2 linked regions of the Stegostoma tigrinum genome follow. The protein of the gene in region 1 purifies or fractionates together with the protein of each later gene. This does not show direct contact. Links are inferred from orthologs where the notes say so. Each region holds a gene or a part of one and is shown on either strand. Other genes may lie near its edges. The genes, in order: wdr19 and intraflagellar transport protein 43 homolog.

Region 1 (9,648 bases):
CATTTTGGGTCTGGTGACCCTTCCTCAGAACTGATGGTAGCTAGGAAAATGTTGGTGTTTATGCAGAAGATAGGGTGGGGAGGGGGTTAGGAGTAAACAATAGGTGGAGATAGAGCCCAAAGAGAGATAAGAACAGTTGGACAGACAAAGGAGCGGATAAGGATCTGGCAAGGAAGGTGAATAGCTGTTAATGTAGACTGTTAGCGGCTAACAATGAGTTGTGTGTAATAGCAGACTGTATGATCACATGGCCTGATGTATGGGGCCGTGGCCTAGGACAGTGGAGAGTTCAAACCCTGAAGTTACTGAGCTCAATATTGAGCAGCTGCAAGGTCCCCAAGCAAAAAATGAGGTGGTGTTCTTCCAGCTTCACTGGGGAACAGCAGCAAGCCTAAGACAGGGATAGTGGCCAGGGAGCCAGGTGGTGCGTTGAAGCAGCAGGTAACTAGAAGCTCAGGGTTATTTTGGCGAGCAGAACTTAGGAGCTTTGCAAAGTGGTCACTTGGCCTACGCTTCTTTTTCCCAATGTAGAGGAAACCACATTGTGAGCAGTGAATCCAATAAACGAGATTGCATGAAGTGCAGGTAAAGTAAATAGGCAAGTATTACACCTTCGGCAATTGTAGGGGAAAGTGTCGTGGGCTGTGGTGGTATTGGGAGTGAAGGAAAAGTCGATCAGAGTGTCCCGAAGGGAATGGTCCCTGCTGAAGGCAAACAACTGAGGGGAGGAGAATGTGTCAAGTGGTGGCACTTTGCTGGAGGTGGCAGAAATGGTGGCTAATCATTTTCTTGTTATGTATGCTGGTGGGATGGTAGGTAAAAACAAGGGAATCCTATCATTGTGGGAGGGAAGAGAGAGGTTGAGAGCCAAAGTGCGGGAGCTGGGTCGAACCCAGTTGAGGGCCCTGTCGACAACAGCGCTGGGGAATCCTCGGTTGAGGAAGAAGATAGACATTTCAGAGGCTCCCTTGTCAAAGTTGGCATCATTGGCACATATGTGACGGAGAGGGAGGAACTGAGAAAACTGAGTCAGAGACAGACCAGGTGAAAGTGAGGGTGGCATGGAAGTTGGAAGCTAAATTGATAAACCTTACCAATTTCAGACGAGAAATAGAACATAACAGCACAGTACAGGCCCTTCGGCCTCGATGTTTGGAAGCTGCACTGATGATATCATCAACATATTGGAGAAAGAGTTTTGGGCATGGGCTGGAATAGGACTCAAACAAGGAATATTCCACGCACCCCACGAAGCGACAGCATAATTGGAGCCCATGCAGTACCCATGGCCACCCCTATGCCCTGAAGAAAATGACAGGAGTTAAAAAAGTTGCTTAGGGTAAGGAAAACCTCCGCCAGGCTGAGGACGGTGGTGGGGGTGGGGATGGTCAGGCATTTTTTTCCAGGAAGGAGTGGAGAGCCCTGAGACTATCCTGATGGGGAATGGAAATGTAGAGGAGTTTTATGTCCATGGTGAAGGAAGGCAGCTGGAGCCTGCAAATTGGAAATTCCAAAACTGGCATAAAGTGTCAGAGGAATTGTAGATACCATCAGCTTGGAGGTGCCGGAGGGGAGATTACCAGATAAAATGAGGACTGTAGTTGATCCAACGGCTGGATATTCCACGGTGGGGCCATGGTCCAGTGGGTGATAGGAGGAGATATGTGAGTGCTGGCATCAGCCTCTGCAACATAAATGCCAGAACTCCAGACTACAACAGCATCACGCTAATAAAGTCAAGATTGGATCTGAGCACATAGAATGCAGTCAGTTCAGGGGAAAATAGGTTGGAATGGGACAGGGGAGGAAAGAAGTTGTTGCCCGCCACATCTACACATCATCCTGTACCCTGGCCAATATCTCTGTCTTAGGCTTGCTGCAGTGCTCCAGCAACGCTCAGCATAAGCTGGATGAACAACAATTCATTTTCTGCTTGGGGTCCCTGCCCTACTCAATATCGAGTTTAATAACTGTAGGTCTTGAACACTCCTATGTCCTAGTCCCCACACCAAAGCACCAGGCCTTGTGACTGCATAGTCTGCTATTACACACAACCCATTGTTAGCCACCAACAGTCTCCATTAACAGCTATTCACTCTCCTAGCCAAATCCTTATCTACTCTTTTGTCTGTCCAACTGTCTTCTCTCTCTTTGGGCTCTATCCTCACCTATCATTTACTCCTTACTCCCTTCCCCCCATCCCATCTTCTGCATTAATACCAACATTTTCTGAGCTACCATCAGTTCTGAGGAAGGGTGACCGGACCCAAAATGTTATCTCTGCTTTCTCTAGACGCTGCTAGATTAAAGTGGCCATGGAAGGTGTGATCTTAGGATGTTTAGCAAAACATGCTCTATGGCTGCTCCGGAGCTTTGGTGGTGGATCGAGCAGGTGTTTCTGGACTTAGTGCCAATCATTCAGGCTGTTTTATCATGGATAGTGTCAACCTTTTGCGTTGTTTGATTTACACTAATTCAGGCAAGTGGGAAGTATTGTCACATTCCTGACTTGTGCCTTGTAGATGGCGGAAAGATTTTTGAGAAGTCAGTTGGTGAGTAACTTAGTGCAGTATTCCAAGACTCCAGCCTGCTCTTGTAGCCACTGTAATTATAATGGTATGCCCAGTTGAGTTTCTGGTCAACAGTAACTGCTAGGATGAGGGAATCAGTGATGGCGACTCCATTGAATGTCAAGTGATGGCATGAATGTTACTTGCCACTTTTTCTGCCCAAACCTGAATGCTGTCTAGGTCTTGATGCATTTGGACAGGGACTGTTTCAGTATCCGAGGAGTCATGATGGTGCTGGCCACTGTGCAAGTACTGGTGAACATCCCCACATCTGACCTGATGGAGGAGGGAAGGTTTTCGATGAAGCAGCTAAAGATTGTTGGGCCTAGGAACCACTGAGGAACTCCAGCAGAGATTTCCAGGAGCGGAGATGACTGATCTCTGACAATCACGACCATCTTCCTATGTTCAAGGAATGCATCAAATTAACAGAGAGTTTTCTCCTAATTCCCAGTGATTTGAATTTTAGTAGGGCTTCCTGATACCACACTCTATCAAACATGGCCTCGATTTCATGGGCTGTCACTTTCACTCCTGAAATTCAGTTGTTTTGTCCATGTTTGAAGTCAAATTGGACATCACTGAGCAAATGGTCGACAAGTAAGTGCTGGTTGATTACATTGTTAATGTTACCTTCCGTCACTTACCACATGATCAAGAGTAGACTAATGGGGAGGCAATTAGCCCGGTTGGATTTATCCTGCTTTTGGTGTACAAGACATACTTGGGCAATTTTTCACATTGACAGGCAAGTGCCAGCATTGTAACTTAACTGAACCTGCTTGGCTACGCAAACAGCAAGTTCTGGAGCACAAGTACTATTGTCAGAATGTTCTCAGGGCCCACAGCCTTTGCAGTATCCAGCGGAAGCTGGTATTAATGGATCTGTGGTGAACACAGTGAGAGTACAATTACAATACTTTCTAGGAGACAGAATATCCCCACGTCTCGGGGGAATATTTTCTGGGTCATGAGGGTTCAGGGACTACAATCCATTGTACCACCAACTCCGTTTCCATAGTAACCGTCAAAGTAGAGCTGAGGCCTTTGCAAATTGCGGTGTTATCACAAGCCATCGACAACAGCGGCGCTAAGTAACAAAACCGAAAATTGTTAACGCGAATACATCTCTCTCTCCTCAACCCGAAGACTTGATGATACCGGAGCAGCCTCCACCTGCACTTCCTCTCTCACCTTCATCTTTCTCTTTATTTCCTTCAGCCTCTAGCTTCCCCAAGTGTGGCCGCGCTGACCAAATGCGCACGCGCAGCAATGCGTCCTCTTCCCGTAGTGCAACGCGGTAGGGCGTCTGGTAGCCATGGTAACCGTCGGCATGCGCCATCACCGTGTTTCTTTGCAGGCTCAGTCCCAGTGAGAAAGCCTGGAGGACCATGAATTTACTGTCAACCTGGGGCTGCTTGTTTAAAAGAAATCTCCATGACTACTAATCTAAATCAAAACAAAAAGCCGAAAGGTATCAACAGGTCACAGTCCGTGGAGATAAAGGCCACAGAACACCGCACTGCCCGTTTCTATCTCCTTCCCAAAATCCACAAACCTGCCTGCCCTGGTCGACCCATCGTCTCAGCCTGCTCCTGCCCCACCGAACTCATCTCCACCTATCTGGACTCCATTTTCTCCCCTTTGGTCCAGGAACTCCCCACCTACATCCATGACACCACCCATGCCCTCCACCTCCTCCAGGACTTCCAATTCCCTGGCCCCCAACACCTCATCTTCACCATGGACGTCCAGTCCCTATACACCTGTATTCCGCATGGAGATGGCCTCAAGGCCCTCCGCTTCTTCCTGTCCCGCAGGCCCGACCAGTCCCCCTCCACCGACACCCTCATCCGTCTAGCCGAACTCGTCCTCACACTCAACAACTTCTCTTTTGACTCCTCCCACTTCCTACAGACTAAGGGGGTGGCCATGGGCACCCGCATGGGCCCCAGCTATGCCTGCCTCTTTGTAGGTTACGTGGAACGGTCCCTCTTCTGCACCTACACAGGCCCCAAACCCCACCTCTTCCTCCGGTACATTGATGACTGTATCGGCGCCGCCTCTTGCTCCCCAGAGGAGCTCGAACAGTTCATCCACTTCACCAACACCTTCCACCCCAACCTTCAGTTCACCTGGGCCATCTCCAGCACATCCCTCACCTTCCTGGACCTCTCAGTCTCCATCTCAGGCAACCAGCTTGTAACTGATGTCCATTTCAAGCCCACCGACTCCCACAGCTACCTAGAATACACCTTCTCCCACCCACTCTCCTGCAAAAATTCCATCCCCTATTCCCAATTCCTCCGCCTCCGCCGCATCAGCTCCCACGATGAGGCATTCCACTCCCACACATCCCAGATGTCCAAGTTCTTCAAGGACCGCAACTTTCCCCCCACAGTGGTCGAGAACGCCCTTGACCGCGTCTCCCGCATTTCCCGCAACACATCCCTCACACCCCGCCCCTGCCACAACTGCCCAAAGAGGATCCCCCTCATTCTTACACACCACCCCACCAACCTCCGGATACAACGCATCATCCTCCGACACTTCTGCCATCTACAATCCGACCCCACCACCCAAGACATTTTTCCATCCCCACCCCTGTCTGCTTTCCGGAGAGACCACTCTCTCCGTGACTCCCTTGTTCGCTCCACACTGCCCTCCAACTCCACCACACCCGGCACCTTCCCCTGCAACCGCAGGAAATGCTACACTTGCCCCCACACCTCGTCCCTCACCCCCATCCCAGGCCCCAAGATGACATTCCACATTAAGCAGAGGTTCACCTGCACATCTGCCAATGTGGTATACTGCATCCATTGTACCCGGTGCGGCTTCCTCTACATTGGGGAAACCAAGCGGAGGCTTGGGGGGACCGCTTTGCAGAACACCTCCACTCGGTTCGCAACAAACAACTGCACCTCCCAGTCGCAAACCATTTCCACTCCCCCTCCCATTCTTTAGATGACATGTCCATCATGGGCCTCCTGCACTGCCACAATGATGCCACCCGAAGGTTGCAGGAACAGCAACTCATATTCCGTTTGGGAACCCTGCAGCCCAATGGTATCAATGTGGACTTCACCAGCTTCAAAATCTCCCCTTCCCCCACCACATCCCAAAACCAGCCCAGTTCGTCCCCTCCCCCCACTGCACCACACAACCAGCCCAGCTCTTCCCCTCCACCCACTGCATCCCAAAACCAGTCCAACCTGTCTCTGCCTTCCTAACCTGTTCTTCCTCTCACCCATCCCTTCCTCCCACCCCAAGCCGCACCTCCATCTCCTACCTACTAACCTCATCCCACCTCCTTGACCTGTCCGTCTTCCCTGGACTGACCTGTCCCCTCCCTACCTCCTCACCTATACTCTCCTCTCCAGCTATCTTCTTTTCTCTCCATTTTCGGTCCGCCTCCCCCTCTCTCCCTATTTATTCCAGAACCCTCACCCCATCCCCCTCTCTGATGAAGGGCCTAGGCCCGAAACGTCAGCTTTTGTGCTCCTGAGATGCTGCTGGGCCTGCTGTGTTCATCCAGCCTCACATTTTATTATCTTGGATTCTCCAGCATCTGCAGTTCCCATTATCACAGAATCCAGCTCTGTTCTGTTTGTAGGTTGGTGCTATTTAGGCTCCAAATTGGAGATATGTGTTTTATGTGAGCCACGCTAGACAACATCGGAGTGGGAGATGAGAAGGGAACATTCAGTAAGAAATGATTCTTCAACTATTAATGTTCATGACTGCCTTAAGTCGTACCTAATTCAATGATGTTCATACAGTCTTAACAGGGAAGGGTTGTCTAGCTCCAGATCCAATATAGACAGGTGTATCATCGGTGTCCAAATAGTTTTTAAGATCAACTTGCTCAGACACGTTGCACGCATCCAGAAGGGTGGACTTGAACCCAGCCCTCCTGGCAGAGAGTGAGGGGCATTGCCAGTGTCACAAGAGACCCCTACCGTAATAATCTTAGTTATTATGTCTGACCAACCAACGTAATTGTTCCTGTTTCTACCATGCAATAAACTAAAGCTTGTTAAAACCAGCACTTCTTTGCATTAAGACTCACTGGTGGTTCACGCTCCACCATTGTTAACTAAAGCAAGAGAGAGGTGATGGCTGAGTGGTAATGTCACTGGACTAGTATCCAGAACCCTTAGCTGATGTCATTTATGCAGTCAGAGTTTTAACAGCATGGAAGGAGGCTTTTAAGCTTGCGTTCACACCAGTCTTCAAACTTCCATCTATTCTAATCTCATTTTCCAGCTGCTGGCTCATAGCCTTGTACACTATGGTGTTTCAAGCATTCATCTAAATAATTTTTAAATGTTTTGAAATTTCCTGTCTGTACCACCCTCTTAGACAGTGAGTTCTAAGTACTCATAACCCTCTGGGTGAAAAAAATCCCTCAAATCCAGTCTGAACTGCCCACCTTTCTCTCCTGTCTCCTCAGACTTCTCTGTTCTAAGGAAAATAGCTTCAGAATTGAATCGCTCCAGCCTAAGCAACACTGTGCTGAATCTCTCGCACCCTCTCTAGTAAAATCACATTTTTTTTTGCTCAGTATTTAAGGTAAGTGAGGGACAGGAGTTTGGACGACAAAATGGGTACCTGATGGATAAAGTAAGTAAATGTCTGCTTAAAATATGTTAGAGGATCCAATCTGGCAGGGTGGGGCTGGGTGTAGGTTGGTTTGGGACCAACCAGGGTTGGGTGGATCAGGTCAAGAAGATCATGTCAGGTCAGAGGATTGTCAGTTTCAGCAAGAGTTGGTCAGGGGGAGCAGAGTTTTAGGTGTTGGGTCACAGGAAGGGGATGTTGTGTCTAGGGATAGGTGTGTTGGGTCTGGATGTTAAGGTTCTGGGATGTAGTTGGGTTGAGGTAGGATCAGTGGTGAGTTGGAAGTTAGTTTAATAGTTGTCAAATAGTCCTCTGACCTTTACTCGGTAATGATGAAACTTAAGTGAGACCAAACTTTATCAAGGTCTGACTTTAAGCATCTTTTTTAGGAGGGTTCCAGAAGCAGGGGAATTGTCCAGTGATAATTTCAAGTTCTGGGACAATTCCAATGCATCAGAGATTCCACGTGGTCTTGAGCCACAATTCTGGTGTTCTCTGTCCATTAACTGAAAGCTGATGCTACATAAATTTATTAAGATCCTTTGAGGATGTAACAAAATTAATAAATGAGGTATATCCAGTGATAATCATTCTGCTGGCCTGCTACCTGGCTGTAACTTCACTCTTCCCTGTCATTTCATCTTATTTAGCTTCTTCCTCTCTTGCATGTATCTGTCTGCCTGTCTTCAGCTTTGTGTTCTTCACTATTGGTACTGCTCTGCTACCATCATTTCTTGTTCCCATATCTCTTTGCTGCTTTGCATTCCAGTTTATGGGAACACATTGACGTGAATAATATTCACAGACTAAGCCACTGGTTTTACTGACATCTTGACAGACCACAGTACCAACACTATCAACCATCCAGCTGCCTAACCATCTGGAACATAAAGTGATACTTCAGCGTTATGATAAAAATAAATTAAAACAGGAAAACTGCAGAGAGTGTGATATCAATAAAGTGCATTTCAAGTAATGACATTATGGTGCCTGATTATTCTCAATGCAGCACTTCCAAAAACAAACATAATGCAGATCATAATGTGTCAGAATTAATAGAGAAAATTACAGAATTTCTGTTTTTATGATACCTTGAAACGATCATAAAAATTATGAAGTGTGGAGGTGACATTCAATTTAGACTTGCTGTCATGCAGTTGTCAGGGAATTGGGGCGCTGAGGCACAGATAGGCTGTGATCTAATTCAATGTTATCTGATATGTTAACCATGAACATTAAGCATCACTATTGGGAAATTGATCTCAATACTTGTACTCATTATATAAGTGTACATTTACTAATAAAATAGTAAGATGTGAAGCAGATTCTCAAACTTATTTTATGAAAATGCATGCTTTATTTGTAGAAATGATGACATAGTGGTAATGCCACTAGACAAAGAATCCAGTACCCCTGGCTCATGTCCTGGGAACAACGGTTCACATTCTGCCATATTAGCTCATGAGATTTGGATTTTTAAAAAAAATCTGGAGTTAATCTTTTGATTGTCATAAAAAGCTATTTGGTTCACTAATGTCCTTTAGGGTAGGAAACCAACCATCGTCACCTGGTCCAGCCTATATGTGACTTCAGGCCCACAACAAAGTGGTTAACTCGAAACTGGTCTTTGGAATATTAGATATGGGCAATAAATGCTGACCCAGCCAGTGGTGCTCACATCCCACAATCAAATTAAATTTAAAAATACTTCGATGAGCACTTGTTGAGTGTCTGCTACCAAGAAAGAAAATATTGGACGGCAGCATCATGGAAACACCAGTAACGGCATATGGAGAGGACAGCAGATAGCAGAATCAGTTTGACCATTCAGAATAAGTGCTTCAGGACAGGAGAAAAACGCAACCAAACCAACAATGAGCAGATCCAGGAAGGTATCACACAGCTAAGGGAACCAACAGTGTTCTGGATGGTAAGCAAGGGCACTGCAGGCACATCTTTGCTAGTTAAACATTCTTAGCAATTATTTGATAAAAATCAATGTCCTCCCACAACTGATGGACAAGATGTGATAAATTCCAAATTTTGATGAAACAGAAAAAATGTGATTTTTTTCACTTAATGATGGTAGATGTTTAATAATTCTACACATGAAGTAGAGTTATCAGTGTTGTTTGCAAGATGTTTAAGATCAAAATGAAGGCATGTGGTTTAAATTGTTTTACTTTTGGCATACTAGTGATGAGTCAGTGACTTCTATTGGATGATCCTGGAACAGGTTCAAGATGCAGAATAGTCTGAGTCAATAAACATGGAGTTGGAAAAGCAGAGCAGGTCAGACAGCATCCGAGGAGCAGGGAAGTCAATGTTTCGGGCCAAAATCCTTCATCAAGATTGGGAAGTGGAGAGGGGGTGCTCAGAAATAAATAGAGGAGGGTGGAAGTGGGGCTGGGGGGGGAGGGTAGGTAGAATGGAGATTGGTAGATACAGGTAGGGG
Region 2 (9,629 bases), on another chromosome or scaffold:
CTCTCTCCCTCCCGCCATCTCAATCTCAGTCTCTCTCTCCCTCCCTCCATCACACTCTCTCCTTCCCTCTATCACATTGTCGATGTCATTCCCTTTATCAGACTCTCTCCCTCCCTCCCTCTATCACACTCTCACATTCCCTCCCTCCATCACACTGTCTCTCTCTCCCTCCATCACACTCTGACTTTCCCTCTCTCCATCACTCTCTCCCACGCTCCATCACGCTCTGTCTCTCCCTCCCTCTATCACACTCTCTCATTTCCTTCCTCTATCACTCTCTCTCTTACTCTCCCTCTATCACACTCTGTCCATCCATCCATCACACACACTCTCTCCATCACACTCTGTCTCCCTCCCCTGTCACACTCTCTCTCCCTACCTCTATCACTCTCTCTCACTCTCCCTCTCTCCCTCCATCACACTCTCTCTTACTCTCCCTCTATCACACTCTCTCCCTCACTCTATCACACACACTCTCTCTTCCTCCATCACACTCCCTCCATCACACTCCCTCTCTCTCCATCACACTCCCTCTATCACCCTCTCTCTCTCTCCCTCCCACTACCACATTCTGTCTCTTACTCTCCCTCTATCACAATCTCTCACTCTCTCCATCACACATACACTCACTCTCCCACACTCTCTTCCTCCCTCCTTCTATCACACGCACTCTCCCTTCCCCTCCATCACACTCTCTCTCTTCCTCCATCACACTCTCTCTTACTCCCTCTATCACACTCTCTCTGTATCTCCCTCTATCAGACTCTCTCTATCTCTTCCTCCATCACATTCTCTCTTTCACTCCCTCCATCACACTCTCTCTCACTCACTCCATCACACTCTCTTTCCCTCCATCACCCTCTCTCTCTCCCTTCCTCTATCTCAATCACCCTCTCTCTGTCCCTCCCTCTACCTCTATCACACTCTCTCCCCCTCTATCACACTCTCTCCCTCCCTCCATCATACACTCTCACACTCCCTCTATCACACTCTCTCTCTCTCTCTTTCTTCCTCCATCACACTCTCTCACTCCCTCTATCACATTGTCTTTCCCTCCATCACCCTCTCTCTCCGTCCCTCTACCTCAATCATCCTCTCTCTGTCCCTCCCTCTACCTCTATTACACACTCTCTCTCTCTCTCCCTCCCTCTATCACTCTCTCTCCCTCCCTCCCTTCATCACACGCTCTGTCTCTCTCCCCCGCTCCTTCTATCACACACTCTCTCTCCCCCTCCATCACACACTCTCTCCCTCCGTCTATCACATCCTCTTTCTCCCTCCCTCTATCACACTCTCACAGTCTCACCCTCTATTGGACTCTCTTCCTCCTTCAATCACACTCTCTACCTCCCCCCATCACACTCTGTCTCTCCTTCCCTCTATAACACTCTCTCCCTCCCTCTATCACACTCTGTCTCTCAGAACAAAGAACAAAGAAACCTACAGCACAGGAACAAGCCCTTCGGCCCTCCAAGCTTGCGCCGATTGAGATCCTCTGTCTAATCTGTCATCTATTCATCTATTTTCTAACAATCTGTGTCCATTTGCTCCCTGCCCATCCATGTACCTGTCCAGATACAGCTTAAAAGACGCTAACGTGTCTGTGTCTACCACGTCCACTGGCAACGGCTCTACCTCTTCCTCCATCATACTCTCTCTCTCACTCCCTCTATCACATGCTGTATCTCCCTCTATCAGACTCACACATAGAGTTCCAGGCACCCACCACCCTCTGCGTAAAGAACTTTCCACACATATCTCCCCTAAACTTTCCTCCTCTCACTTTGAACTCATGACCCCGAGTAATTGAGTCCCCCATTCTGGGGAAACTTACTGTCCCTTTATCATACTCTCTCCCTCCCTCTATCACACTCTCTCTCTTACTCTCCCGCGATCACACTCTCTCTCTCGCACTGACACACTCTCTCTCTCTCTCCCTCTGTCACACTCTCTCTCCCTCTGTCACACACTCTCTCTCCCTCTGTCACACACTCTCTCTCTCCCTCTGTCACACACTCTCTCTCTCCCTCTGTCACACTCTCGCTCTCTTACTCTGTCACACTCTCTCTATCTTACTCTGTCACACTCTCTCTCTCTTACTCTGTCACTCTCTATCTCTCCATCTGTCACTCCCTCTCTCTCCCTCTGTCACACTCTCTCTCTCCCTGTCACACTCTCTCTCTCCCTGTCACACTCTATCTCTCACTCTGTCACACACTCTCTCTCTCCCTCTGTCACACACTCTCTCTCTCCCTCTGTCACACACTCTCTCTCTCCCTCTGTCACACTCTCTATCTCTCCCTCTGTCACACTCTCTCTCTCCCTCTGTCACACTCTCTCTCTCTCTCCCTGTCACACACTCTCTCTCTCTCCCTCTGTCACACACTCTCTCTCTCTCTCTCCCTCTGTCACACTCTCTCTCTCTTACTCTGTCACTCTCTCTCTCTCTCTTACTCTGTCACTCTCTATCTCTCCCACTGTCACACACTCTCTCTCTGCCCCTCTGTCACACACTCTCTCTCTCCCTCTGTCACACACTCTCTCTCCCTCTGTCACACTCTCTATCTGTCCCACTGTCACACACTCTCTCTCTCCCACTGTCACACACACTATCTCTCCCTCTGTCACACACTCTCTCTCTCTCCTCTGTCACACTCTCTCTCTCTTACTCTGTCACCCTCTATCTCTCCCACTGTCACACACTCTCTCTCTCTCTCCCTCTGTCACACTCTCTCTCTCTTACTCTGTCACTCTCTATCTCTCCCACTGTCACACACTCTCTATCTCTCCCTCTGTCACACACTCTCTCTCTCCCTCTGTCACACACTCTCTCTCTCCCTCTGTCACACACTCTCTCTCTTACTCTGTCACTCTCTATCTCTCCCACTGTCACACACACTCTTTCTCTCCCTCTGTCACACACTCTCTCTCTCCCTCTGTCACACACTCTCTCTCTCCCTCTGTCACACTCTCTCTCTCTTACTCTGTCACTCTCTATCTCTCCCACTGTCACACTCTCTCTCTCTCCCTCTGTCACACTCTCTCTCTCTTACTCTGTCACTCTCTATCTCTCCCACTGTCACACACTCTCTCTCTCCCCCTCTGTCACACACTCTCTCTCTCCCTCTGTCACACACTCTCTCTCCCTCTGTCACACTCTCTATCTGTCCCACTGTCACACACTCTCTCTCTCCCTCTGTCTCACACACTCTCTATCTCTCCCTCTGTCACACACTCTCTCTCTCTCCCTCTGTCACACACTCTCTCTCTCCCTCTGTCACACACTCTCTCTCTCCCTCTGTCACACTCTCTCTCTCTTACTCTGTCACTCTCTATCTCTCCCACTCTGTCACTCTCTATCTCTCCCACTGTCACACTCTCTCTCTCTCCCACTGTCACACACACTCTCTCTCTCCCTCTGTCTCACACACTCTCTATCTCTCCCACTGTTACACACTCTCTCTCTCTCCCTCTGTCACACAATCTCTCTCTCTCCCTCTGTCACACAATCTCTCTCCCTCTGTCACACTCTCTCTCCCACTGTCACACACTCTCTCTCTCCCCCTCTGTCACACACTCTCTATCTCTCCCACTGTCACACACTCTCTCTCTCCCTCTGAAACACACTCTCTCTCTCCCTCTGTCACACTCTCTCTCTCTTACTCTGTCACTCTCTATCTCTCCCACTGTCACACTCTCTCTCTCTCTCCCTCTGTCACACTCTCTCTCTCTTACTCTGTCACTCTCTATCTCTCCCACTGTTACACACTCTCTCTCTCCCCCTCTGTCACACACTCTCTCTCTCTCCCTCTGTCACACACTCTCTCTCCCACTGTCACACACTCTCTCTCTCTCCCTCTGTCACACTCTCTATCTCTCCCACTGTCACACACTCTCTCTCTCCCTCTGTCTCACACTCTCTCTCTCTCCCTCTGTCACACTCTCTCTCTCTTACTCTGTCACACACTCTCTCTCCCTCTGTCACACACTCTCTCTCTCTCCCTCTGTCTCACACTCTCTCTCTCTCCCTCTGTCTCACACACTCTCTCTTACTCTCCCAGATTCTCTCCCTCCCTCCCTCTGTCACTCTCTCTCTCTCTGCGTCTCTCTCTATCACCACACACTCTCTCTCTCTCTCTCTCTCGCACTGTCACAGTCTCTCTCTCCCACCTGGAACACATAGACACTCCCTCCCCCTCCCTCTATCACACTCTATCCTATTACCCGCTGAGGTTCCTCCAGAACATCCTCCATTGCCAGGCCAAGCGCCAATGCGCATGCGCGACGGTCTCCCCGACAACGGAGAGAGAGACTGGGATAGAAAGAGAGAGAGAGACTGGGATAGAGAGAGAGAGTGAAACTGGGATAGTGAGAGAGAGAGACTGGGATAGAGAGAGAGAGAGAGACTGGGATAGAGAGAGAGAGACTGGGATAGAGAGAGAGAGAGAGACTGGGATAGAGAGAGAGAGAGAGACTGGGATAGAGAGAGAGAGAGACTTGGATAGTGAGAGAGATAGAGACTGGGATAGAGAGAGAGAGAGACTGGGATAGAGATAGAGAGAGACTGGGATAGAGAGAGAGATAGAAACTGGGATAGAGAGAAAGAGCGACATAGATAGAGAGAGACAGAGACTGGGATAGAGAGAGAGAGATACTGGGATAGACAGAGAGAGAGACTGGGATAGAGAGAGAGAGAGAGACTGGGATAGTGAGAGAGAGAGAGTGGGAAAAAGAGAGAGAGAGAGACTGGGATAGAGAGACGGAGAGAGACTGGGATAGAGAGATAGAGAGAGACTTGGATAGTGAGAGAGATAGAGACTGGGATAGAGAGAGAGAGAGACTGGGATAGAGAGAGAGAGACTGGGATAGAGAGAGACTGGGATAGAGATAGAGAGAGAGAGACTGGGATAGAGAGAAAGAGAGATAAAGAGACTGGGATAGAGAGAGTGAGACTGGGATAGATAGAGAGAGAGACTGAGAGAGAGAGGGACTGGGATAGAGAGAGAGAGAGGAATAGTGCCAGATGACTGGAGGATAGCAAATGTGGTTCCCCTGTTGAAGATGGGAGTAGAGACAACCCTGGTAATTATAGACCAGTGAGCCTTACCTCAGTTGTTGGTAAAGTGTTGGAAAAGGTTATAAGGGATAGGATTTATAATCATCTAGAAAAGAATAAATTGATCAGGGATAGTCAGCATGGTTTTGTGAAGGGAAGGTCGTGCCTCACAAACCTTATTGAGTTCTTTGAGAAGGTGACCAAACAGGTAGATGAGAGTAAACCGGTTGATGTGGTGTATATGGATTTCAGCAAGGCGTTCGATAAGGTTACCCACAATAGGCTATTGTACAAAATGCAGAGGAATGGAATTGTGGGAGATATAGCAGTTTGGATCGGAAATTGGCTTGCTGAAAGAAGACAGAGGGTGGTAGTTGATGGGAAATGTTCATCCTGGAGACCAGTTACTAGTGGTGTACCGCAAGGGTCGGTGTTGGGTCCACTGCTGTTTGTCATTTTTATAAATGACCTGGATGAGGGTGTAGAAGGATGGGTTAGTAAATTTGCAGACGACACTAAGGTCGGTGGAGTTGTGGATAGTGACGAAGGATGCTGTAGGTTGCAGAGAGACATAGATAAGCTGCAGAGCTGGGCTGAGAGGTGGCAAATGGAGTTTATTGCAGACAAGTGTGAGGTGATGCACTTTGGTAGGAGTAACCAGAAGGCAAAGTACTGGGCTAATGGTAAGATTCTTAGCAGTGTAGATGAGCAGAGAGATCTCGGTGTCCATGTACACAGATCCTTGAAAGTTACCACCCAGGTTGACAGGGCTGTTAAGAAGGCATACAGTGTTTTAGCTTTTATTAATAGAGGGATCGAGTTGCGGAACCAAGAGGTTATGGTGAAGCTGTACAAGACTCTGGTGTGGCCGCACATGGAGTATTGTGTACAGTTCTGGTCACCGCATTATAAGAAGGATGTGGAAGCTTTGGAAAGGATGCAGAGGAGATTATTTAGGATGTTGCCTGGTATGGAGGGAAGGCCTTACGAGGAAAGGTTGAGGGACTTGAGGCTGTTTTCATTAGAGAGAAGAAGGTTGAGAGGTGACTTAATTGAAACATATAAAATAATCAGAGGGTTAAATAGGGTGGATAGGGAGAGCCTTTTTCCTCGGATGGTGACGGCAAGCACGAGGGGGCATAGCTTTAAATTGAGGGGTGGAAGATATAGGTCAGATGTCAGAGGTAGTTTCTTTACTCAGAGAGTAGTAAGGGCATGGAACGCTTTGCCTGGAATGGTAGTTGATTCGCCAACTTTAGGTCCATTTAAGTCGTCATTGGACAAGCATATGGACGTACTTGGAATAGTGTAGGTTAGATGGGCTTGAGATTGGTATGACAGGTTGGCACAACGTCGAGGGCCGAAGGGCCTGTACTGTGCTGTAATGTTCTATGTTCTATGAGACTGGGATAGAGAGAGAGAGAGAGACTGGGATAGAGAGAGAGAGAGACTGGGATAGAGAAAGAGTGTGACTGGGACAGAGAGAGAGAGCGTGACTTGGATAGAGAGAGAGACTGGGATAGAGAGAGAGAGACTGGGATAGTGAGAGAGAGAGACTGGGATAGAGAGAGAGAGTGACTGGGATAGAGAGAGAGAAAGAGAGGCTGGGATAGTGAGAGAGAGAGACTGAGATAGAGAGAGAGAGTGACTGGGATAGAGAGAGAGAAAGAGAGGCTGGGATAGAAAGAGAGAGCGAAACTGGGATAGAGAGAGAGACACTGGGATAGAGAGAGAGAGAGCGACTGGGATAGAGAGAGTGAGAGAGACTGGGATAGAGAGAGAGAGACTGGGATAGAGAGAGAGAGAGAAAGAGAGACTGGGATAGAGGGAGACTGGGATAGAGAGAGAGAGAGCGACTGGGATAGAGAGAGAGAGAGCGACTGGGATAGAGTGAGAGAGAGCGACTGGGATAGAGAGAGAGACTGGGATAGAGAGAGAGAGAGACTGGGATAGAGAGAGAGAGAGACTGGGATAGAGAGAGAGAGAGCGACTGGGATAGAGTGAGAGAGAGCGACTGGGATAGAGAGAGAGAGAGAGAGACTGGGATAGAGAGAGAGAGAGACTGGGATAGCGAGAGCAAGAGCAGAACTGGAATATAGAGTGACCCTAGATTGTTTGTTTCAGCCACTCCCTGACATTCGCTCTCTGTATGTCGCGGTGGGATGCAGTTATCTCAGTTTAATAATAATCGTGTTATCATTTTTAAGCAAACCGGTGACGGAGATCTTGTTAGATCTCAGCTGAAGTATTGTGTCCAGTTGTAGGTACCACATTGTAGGGAAGATGTGAATATATTACAGACAGTACTGAAATTATTAGTATGAATGATGCCAGGAATGAAAATTTCAGTGATGAGGATAGACTGAAGAAGCGGTGAGCTTGTGGTGCCACGGTAGCACGTCTGGCTCCAAATCAGAAGGTTGGGTGTTCAAATCATGGCGGGCTCACTGATGTTTGGTGGTAATGTATTGCTACTTATTTAGAGGGCACCACGGTGGCTCAGTGGTTAGCACTGCAGCCTCACAGCACCAGGGACCCAGGTTCAATTCCAGCCTCAGGCGACTGTCTATGTGGAGTTTGCACATTCTCCCCATGTCTGCATGGGTTTTCTCCGGGTGCTCCGGTTTCCTCCCACAGTCCAAAGATGTGCAGGCTAGGTGGGTTGGCCATGATAAATAGCTAATAGTGTTCAGGGAGGTATAGATTAGGTGGGCTAAGGGGGGATGGGTCTGGGTGGGATGCTCCGTGAATTGGTGTGGATTTGTTGGGCCGAAGAGCCTGTTACCACACTGTCGGGATTCTATAATAAATAAGTTGGGACTATTCCCTATTGAGAGGAGAAGCCTAAGAGAAGATTTGATTGAGGTATTCAAGATCGTGAGCAGGGCCTGGTCAAGGTAGATAGGGAGAAGCCTTTCCCATTCTTAAGGGGCTTTCTCAAGATGGCAGCCAGTGACAAGTGGTGGTCCGCAAGGGTCAGTACTGGGGCCACAACCTTTCACTTTATACAATTTCCTTTGATGATCATGGGATGTGGGCATCACTGGCCAGGCAGCATTCATTGCCCATCCCTAGTTGCCCAGAGGGCAGTTAGGAGTCAACCACATCGCTGTGGGTCTGGAGTCACATGGAGGCCAGACCAGGTAAGGATGGCAGTTTCATTCCCTAAAGGTCATTAGTGAACCAGATGGGTTTTTTCGATTATCAACATCGTATTCATGGTCATCATTAGATTCTCAATTCCAGATATTTATTGAATTCAAATTCCACCATCTGCCCTGGCAGGATTTGAATCCAGATCCCCAGAACATTATCTGAGTCTCTGGATTAACAGTCCAGCGGTTATACCACGAGACAAGTACCTCCCATAATCGAGATGAAGGAACTGAGGGTATTCTGGTTAAGTTTGCAGATGATACAAAGTTAGGCGGAGGGACAGGTAGTATTGAGGAGATGGGGAGGCTTCAGAAGGATTTCGACATGTCAGGAGAGCGAGTAAAGAAGTGGCAGATGGAGTACAACGTGGGAAAGCGTGAGGTCATACACTTTCGTAAGAATAATAAAAGCATGGGCTGTTTTCTAAATGGGGAGGAAATGCAGAAAGAGACTTGGGAGTTCTAGTCCAGGATTCTCTCAAGGTAAACTTGCAGGGTGAGTCAGCAGTCAGGAAGGCAAATGCAATGTTAGCATTTATTTTGAGAGGTGTTGAATATAAAAGCAGGGATGTACTACTGAGGCTCTATAAGGCTCTGGTCAGGCCACATTTGGAGTATTGTGTGCAGTTTTGGGACCCATATCTCAGGAAGGATGTACTGGCCCTGGAGCAGGTTCAGAGGAGGTTCACGAAAATGGTCCTGGGAATGGAGAGCTTAACATATGGGGAATATTTGAGGACTCTGGGACTATACTCATTGGAGTTTAGACGGATGAGGCGGGTACTATTGAAATTTACAGACTATGAATGGCCTGGACAGAGCGGATGTTGGGAAGATGCTTCCATTGGTAGGAGAGACTAGGACCCGGGGGCACAGCCTTAGAGTAAAGGTAAGACCTTTTAGGACGGAGATAAGGAGAAACGTCTTCAGCCAGAGAGTGGTGAATCTATGGAATTCACTGCCACAGAAGGCTGTGGAGGCCGGGTCATTGAGTACATTTAAGACAGAGATAGATAGGTTCTTGATTATTAAGGGTTATGGGGAGAAAGTGGGAGAATGGGATTGAGGAACTTATCGGCCATGGTTGAATGGCGGAGCAGACTCGATGGGCTGATTGGCCTGGCCTAATTTATGCTTCTATGTCTTATCGCCATATGAAAGAAACAAGAATGGCAGGGCATAGGTCGATAGTGATGTGCAAACGAAGAATGGCCTCGATTCCCTGAGACCTGGTCGGCGTTGCCTAGTGAGTTTTCCCACATCCTATTTTCTGTGTTTCTCTAACTGTGACTCTCACTGAGATGGGAGTCTCTCTGTGCATCACAGAAATTCAACTTTGTAAATATTTAATCAGGTAACTTCACAATGAACAGATCGAGTCCTTTAGTTTCAATCAGATGCTTTCTTGGAAATGACAT

What was found.
Region 2: the proteins of wdr19 (region 1) and intraflagellar transport protein 43 homolog purify together in Homo sapiens (affinity purification with mass spectrometry; 3 studies listed by BioGRID and IntAct, counting the BioPlex papers as one, with this or other methods). This does not show direct contact. The link is inferred for Stegostoma tigrinum from reciprocal best matches to the Homo sapiens genes WDR19 and IFT43.

The regions. Positions count from the first base shown.
Region 1 is NC_081354.1:98,064,715-98,074,362, reverse strand, and holds the start of wdr19 (WD repeat-containing protein 19), read right to left. Parts: upstream 3,847-9,648; 5' UTR 3,771-3,846; coding exon 3,765-3,770; intron 1-3,764. UniProt on the Homo sapiens protein: As component of the IFT complex A (IFT-A), a complex required for retrograde ciliary transport and entry into cilia of G protein-coupled receptors (GPCRs), it is involved in cilia function and/or assembly.
Region 2 is NC_081363.1:1,957,855-1,967,483, forward strand, and holds the start of intraflagellar transport protein 43 homolog, read right to left. Parts: upstream 4,291-9,629; 5' UTR 4,255-4,290; coding exon 4,225-4,254; intron 1-4,224. UniProt on the Homo sapiens protein: As a component of IFT complex A (IFT-A), a complex required for retrograde ciliary transport and entry into cilia of G protein-coupled receptors (GPCRs), it is involved in ciliogenesis.